2 linked regions of the Ovis aries genome follow. The main gene of each other region encodes a partner of the protein of the gene in region 2 in a complex. Links are inferred from orthologs where the notes say so. Each region holds a gene or a part of one and is shown on either strand. Other genes may lie near its edges. The genes, in order: TRIB1 and COP1.

Region 1 (3,385 bases), on a different chromosome or scaffold from region 2:
TTACACTTTACAAACTTTTAAAAAATCACTCTGGATGCCAACTGACTTCATTTAGATTTTGTTGTCATAGTGAAGTTTTATACCTAATCAATTCCAATTTCTGTATTTGTGATTCAAAATAATGTTGCTTTTAGCTTTCCTATTAGTTCCACTTTTACATTTACAGAAAGAAAAAAAAAAGGCCTCAACTAATTTAATTAAGTCTAATGGGGGAGGAAAGGGTGGAGTTGGGCTCTCAACAGGAGGCCTGGTGATACCTTCAGGGATGGATGTGGACCTCTGAAATTACAAGTTGGATACACATGGATGTTTTTCTGAGAAGCGTCCATAGTTTTCATCAAATTCTCAAGGGTCTGTGAAAGACCATAAGCCAGAGGGATTCTTACAACTCAAGACTTTTTCATCTATGTGCCTCCTCAAATGTTTCTCAACTCTTAAATTCAACTCAGCCCTCATCAGCCTGATTCACCAAATTGGTCTCACCCATCAAAATGAATTTGTCTACTTCAATGGAAAAAGTGAATGGGTTCAGCTTTGTCAAAGGTCATATATAATCATCAGCTGTTTACTTCTTCATCTCCCCATTGAGATTCCAGGCCCGAAGCCAGCGACCTTTGCATCCACAGCATGAAACTACACCAGGTAACGGGGGACTGGACTCCAAAGAAGTCACTGCACCTATTTACGAAACCAGATTTATTAAAATCTCTCTACAAGTCGGAAATGGCCGTCTCAACATATATACACATGTACAGGAAGGGTCTAGTGTTTCCAAGCCCCAGCAAACCCAGAGTCCTTAGCCGGGTCATGTATCACAGATACAACATTCAAGCAACCACGAGAGCGTTAGTGCGACAGAGGTCTCTGTCCTCCTTCTCCAAGTCCCATGATTCTGTCAAGGTAATATTGCCAATGATCATTCACATTTCACGTGGTCTTAGACACGCAGGTTATTCAGACAGACACAGACGACGAACAAGTGTCAGAGTGAAAACGACAACGAATGTAGAAAAGGTACATTGTATGTACAGAGCACACAGTACGTGAGGTATACACGGTATTCTCACAATGCATGTTAGTAGTTTGCCTAAGGCGTAGCCCTTAAAGGTGACTGCCTGCTTTTGTGCCATTTCTCAGAATACAGTATGTTTGGTTTACCCGTTTAACCACCGGATTTCAGTACTGTCTGAGACATTTACTGATATTTCATCTGTTTTTTTAATGCAAGTGGCAGTTTCTAAGTTCTATCTTCCGTAGGTAGTGAGTTCCCATCTCTGGAAGCATTCAAACAGAGGTTGGAGTCCCACCTGTGAAAGAATTTGGGGGGTATGGTGGGGTATGGGGATTTCTACATTGGGAGGTGGTAGAGAAAGGAAAGAAGTTGGACTAGATGCCTTTTAAAGTCCCTTCCGACCTTAAAGATTTGGGGCTTGCTATTTCACTCCACATACCGACGAAACAGATGCATTCATAAACCACACCACAGATGAAATATTAACAACCTGTCATGCAAAACTGCAGACCAGACCCATGGGGGTGGTTAAAGACTAATTCTGGAAGTTAGTCTGAGAGCCGTCTAAGACTATCCAAAATTTACTTTCTCTGAAGCACAAAAACTTGCTCTTGGGAGAGAGGAATCTTTTCTTTCTTCTCCTAGACAAAATGCTCCACCCTGAGATGGTCTTGGGGGAAAAAAGGAAAGGATAAATGCGAACATATTTGAGGGGAACCAAAACAGCTAATGGTTTCCAAGTGCTCAAATTCTTTTTAAAAGTCTCCAGTCTCTCTGTCTGAGCTCAGAGTTCTGAAACAGCCAGGAGCTTGAATCTTTTGTGATACTCTTCCACCATTAGCTGGTAAGTGCTTTTATAGTGAAAGAGGAAGGGGCTCATTTCAAGGTCAGAAAGAAGGCTTTAGTGCAAATGGGGTCTTGGCAGGACACAGAGGAGAGATGATTCTGGGTTCATGATTCAGGCAAGCTTCTACGCCCCTGAAAACAGTCTGCTCCAAAAACATGAAGAAAGGGCGAGTGTTAAACCAAACCAGGAAAAAACAATTTTCCAATCAGAGAAGCTGGGGGTAGCAAAAGCCTGGCTACCAAGGACCAGTTTGAAGATGGCAGGTTTATTGGCCCAGGTAATCTGTCACCCTGTTAAAAATATAGTTATTGCCCAAAATGCCATTGTGTGATTCATTTCCTCTCCCTTTAGAGTGTTCAAGTTCATTTCACTCCATCACACGCTGCAGGATATTTATACTCCGTGCCACCCAGAAAAGAGGTGGAACCCCCCAAAATCCAACAAAGGGATAGTTGGCGAAGGTTCACTGAGGAAAACAACTCTGTAGGGCAGCCAATCAGAGTGTACGCTGCTCACCTCCTCAGTCACGCATCCAGAAGATGAGAAAGAAGGGGCGCCATGCTGAATTCAGCACCCACAGTCTCCACGCCATCACCTGTCTGTTTGGCCTCACGCCGAAAGGCCTGTCCATCTTTAGAAATGGAAAATGCCATGTGTGAGAATTATGAGGTTTCTGAGGTTTGGGGATTAGCAGAAGAAGGAACTGATGTCACTGTCCTCCTGGTACTCTGGAACAATCTGGTCGGAAGTTCCTACTTCTGAGTCGACGTACCCAGGTTCCAAGACAGACTCAAACCAGGGATGGAGTAAGATCTCTGGGGCAGTGAGTCTCTCCGAAGGCTCCCGTCTCAGGAGGCTGCGAATGAGGCACCTGGCTTTGGGAGAAATGTGGTCAGGAATGCAGAACTGTCCACGTCGGATTTTGGAGAAAAGGGCACTGGGGTCTGAGTCATGGAAGGGGTAGCGCCCCACCAAAAGGGTGTAGAGCATAACCCCAAGGCTCCAAACGTCCGCTGCCTTTCCGGAGTAGGTCCCCGTGGTGTTCAGAATCTCAGGGCTCACATAGGCTGGGCAGCCGTGTTTGTCTGACAAAGCATCATCTTCTCCCTTGATTATGTGTGTATCTTCAAGACTTTCCAGTCTGAGCTGGGTTCTGTAGAAGACATGAAACAAGCCATTACTTCCAGATCCAGCTGCTATGAAAAACAAGGCCTTCCTTCCCAATAATAGGGCCCACAGGCACTCAACGCAAAGGCCCAAGGAATGCCAGTTACCCCTTCATCCAGTAAGCACTGCCTTGCAACCTACCCAGGAAGACTCCAGATTTCACAAACCAATACAAACTGCAATAAAAATTAGCAAACTATTGAGAGAGCACCTGGGGTGGAGGGTATGATGCAAAGCCCCAAATACTATTCATGATGCTAGAGCTTAGAAGAAATATCCTAATAGAGGTTACACAATCTACTAAGTGCACGTTGCAGCAGTGGGAGCCTGTGTCAGGAGAATGCTGACATTTCTCCAAA
Region 2 (3,824 bases):
ATCAGAACAAACCATGGAAAATTCTTAAAGAGATGGGACTACCAGACCGTCTCATCTGCCTTCTGAAAAACCTGTATGCAGGTCAAGAAGCAACAGTTAAAACCGGACATAGAACAAAGGACTGGTTCCAAACTGGGAAAGGAGTACGTCAAGGCTGTAGACTGTCACTCTACTTATTTAACTTACATGCAGAATACATCATGTGAAATGCTGGGTTTGATGAAGCACAAGCTGGAATCAAGATTGCGGGGAGAAATACCAATAACCTCAGATATGCAGATGACACCATCCTTATGGCAGAAAGCGAAGAGGAACTAAAGAAGGTGAAACAAGAGAGTGAAAAAGCTGACTTAAAACTCAACACTCCCAAAACAAAGATCATGGCATCCAGTCACAGATGGGTAAACAATGCAAACAGTGACAGATTTTTATTTTCTCAGACCCCCAAATCACTGCAGATGGTGACTGCAGCCATGAAATTAAAAGACCCTTGCTCCCTAAAAGAAAAGCTATGACAAACATAGAAAGCATATTAAAAAGCAGAGAGATTACTTTGCCAACAAAGGTCTGTCTAGTAAAAGCTATGGTTTTTCCAGTAGTCATGTATGGATGTGAGAGTTGGACCATAAAGAAAGCAGAGCTGAAGAATTGATGCTTTTGAAATGTGGTGTTGGAGAAGACTCCTGGGAGTCTCTTGGGCTGCAAGATCAAACTAGTCAATCTTAAAGGAAATCAGTCCTGAATATTCAATGGAAGGACTCATGCTGAAGCTGAAGCTCCAGTACTTGGGCCACATGATGTGAAGAGCCGACTCATTAGATAAGACCCTGATTACTGGGCAAGATTGAAGGCAGGAGGAGAAGGGGACAACTGAGAATGAGATGGTTGGATGGCATCACCAACCCAATGGACATGAGTTTGGGCAAGCTCCAGGAGATGGTGAAGCATAGGGAAGCCTCGTGTGCTGCAGGCCAAGGGGTCGCAAAGGGTCGGACACAACTGAGAGACTGAACAACAACAACAATCATTGTGAAATAAAGTTTCCAACGCTAGAGCTACCCCTGCCTATCTATTCACTAGTCTGCAAGTTACAGATGGAAAGGAAGGAGAGGGCCAAGATAAAAGAAATCTGTTAACAGGGCTTTATAAATCTAATCTTGAGAAAAAACAGGCCAAAAGAAGACAGTAACGGGAAAGAACAAACAGTAAAGACAGATACACACACCACACACACACACATACACAAAAATAGAAAGATCAATGAAATTGGCAGAAAGAAATATAGAATTTCTGCCTTGAAACATGATTTACTTCATTCAAAGATTTTGGTATACACTCAGAATTTAATACAATTCAGAATACAGTGATGTCTAAATATTTCAACAAAAAAGTTCATTTCACAGTATATGTACAGGAACTGGTTATAAATACATCACAGGCATGAATTCAGAAAAAATTATTATAATGAAGATGCAGAATATTCATTTTTCTTTCACTCCAAGAAATAAAGATTTTTGTGCTTATTAGACTATTTTTAGAATAATCAGTAATCGCAAAGGATCACTATGGGTTTCAATAAATATGTGTATTTCTGTTAGGTTTTAAAAGGAATTAATTCGGGGGGGAGACCCAAATAGTACCTTTTGCATCATCAGAACCTGAAGCCAAGAGTTTAGGATCCATCAAATTAAAGTCAACACTCCAACATCTCTTCTCATGTTCCTAGATGTAGAAGGAAGACAAAGTAGTCTCAGAATATAGATCTTAAATAAAGCAAAACAAATAAACATAGCTGATACCAATTTATCACTATGGTGGGAGGGAGAAAGAACTGGCTATGAAAATAAAGGAGATGCAAAGTAGCTCCATAAACTTTTTAAATATACATTTATAAAATTACCACTTTTGGAAATTCATCCTACAAATGCAAAGAGCATTACTGGAATTACATAGGTAGACGGTTGGATGGCATCCCTGACTCGATGGACATGAGTTTGAGCAAGCTCTGGGAGTTGGTGATGGACAGGGAAGCCTGGGGTGCTGCAGTCCATGGGGTCGCAAAGTGTCAGATATAAATGAGCGGCTGACCTGAGGAACTGCTGCTGCTGCTGCTGCTAAGTTACTTCAGTTGTGTCAGACTCTGTGCGACCCCACTGACGGCAGCCCACCAGGCTCCCCCGTCCCTGGGATTCCCCAGGCAAGAATACTGTAGTGGGTTGCCATTTGAACTGAGGAACTGAGGAAATGCTAAACAATGATTTTAAATTTGTAATTATAAAATGCATGAAGCTCTATAATTATTAAAAAGTACAAATGTGATTCTTGCAACAAGCTCCAATATTTTGGCTACCTGATGCAAAGAGCTGACTCACTGGAAAAGACTCTGATGCTGGGAAAGATTGAGGGCAAAAGGCAAACGGGATGACAGAAGATAAGATTGTCAGATGGCATCATCGACTCAATGGACATGAGTTTGAACAAACTCTGGAGATAGTGATGGACAGGGAATCTGGTGTGCTGCAGTCCATGGGATCGCAAAGAGTTGGACACGACTGAGCGACTGAATAGTAACAACAACCACAGGTAACTAGTATTCTTATTTACCTGATAGACCTTTGACCTCTGTCCTGTGAATCCATCCCATAGGATGACGGTGCCTTCATAATCACTGCTGGCTAATAGGTTCTTATGATAACTACTCCAACTGATACAGCTGAAAGAAAGGGATATTAAGTTAAGCCTTATTTTACATAAAAATAAATAGCAATGGATACAAAGAATTTGGACGTGTTCAAAAAGATTAGAACCCTTTCAAAATGGTCTACATAAGTTCACAATAATTATTTTGCCCACAATCCATCAAGGAAGAAGGCATCAAATAATTCCCAGAGTATTCAATTGAAACTACCAAGTCACAAACCATAACCACTCTTCACTCTCATCACCAGCTAGAAGACAGATATGGTGTGCCTAAAGTTGCTACTGGCCATCCTTGACACATGAAAATACATGTCTGTAGGTGGAGATAACAGAGGCCAGGGGGGCACACGTATGTCATGGCAGAGACACATGAGGAATACATGTCTGTAGGTAGAGATAACAGAGGCCAGGGGGGCACACATATGTCATGGTGGAGACACATGAGGAATACATGTCTGTAGGTGGAGATAATAGAGGCTGGGGGGGCACGCGTATGTCATGGCAGAGACACATGATGAATACATGTCTGTAGGTAGAGATACAGGGGCCGGGGGGACACACATATGTCATGGTGGAGACACATGAGGAATACATGTCTGTAGGTGGAGATAATAGAGGCTGGGGGGGCACGCGTATGTCACGGCAGAGACACATGAGGAATACATGTCTGTAGGTGGAGATACAGGGGCCAGGGGGACACACATATGTCATGGCAGAGACACATGAGGAATACATGTCTGTAGGTGGAGATACAGGGGCCGGGGGGACACACATATGTCATGGCAGAGACACATGAGGAATACATGTCTGTAGGTGGAGATAATAGAGGCTGGGGGGGCACGCGTATGTCATGGCAGAGACACATGAGGAATACATGTCTGTAGGTGGAGATAACAGAGGCTGGGGGGGACACACATATGTCATGGCAGAGACACATGAGGAATACATGTCTGTAGGTGGAGATAATAGAGGCCGGGGGGGCACGTGTATGTCATGGCGGAGACACATGAGGAATGCATGTCTGGAGGTGGAGATAATAGAGGCCGGGGGGACACACGTATGTCATGGCGGAGACACATGAGGAATACATGTCTGTAGGTGGAGATAACAGGGGCCGGGGGGCA

What was found.
Region 1: the proteins of COP1 (region 2) and TRIB1 are in contact, whole or in part, in a crystal structure (PDB 5IGQ), measured with the Homo sapiens proteins. The link is inferred for Ovis aries from reciprocal best matches to the Homo sapiens genes COP1 and TRIB1. Residues at the interface, in NP_071902.2 of Homo sapiens: Ile423, Ser425, Val441, Lys472, Tyr491, Trp517, Asp534, Ala556, Asn557, Cys559, Ala576, Asp577, His578, Lys600, Ala601, Ser603, Thr618, Lys643, Asn644, Phe645, Phe699; in NP_079471.1 of Homo sapiens: Asp355, Gln356, Ile357, Val358, Pro359, Glu360, Tyr361.

The regions. Positions count from the first base shown.
Region 1 is NC_056062.1:27,809,461-27,812,845, forward strand, and holds the end of TRIB1 (tribbles homolog 1), read right to left. Parts: intron 3,013-3,385; coding exon 2,547-3,012; 3' UTR 682-2,546; downstream 1-681. UniProt on the Homo sapiens protein: Adapter protein involved in protein degradation by interacting with COP1 ubiquitin ligase. The COP1-binding motif is masked by autoinhibitory interactions with the protein kinase domain.
Region 2 is NC_056065.1:56,630,441-56,634,264, forward strand, and holds part of COP1 (E3 ubiquitin-protein ligase COP1), read right to left. Parts: intron 2,714-3,824; coding exon 2,605-2,713; intron 1,723-2,604; coding exon 1,641-1,722; intron 1-1,640. UniProt on the Homo sapiens protein: E3 ubiquitin-protein ligase that mediates ubiquitination and subsequent proteasomal degradation of target proteins.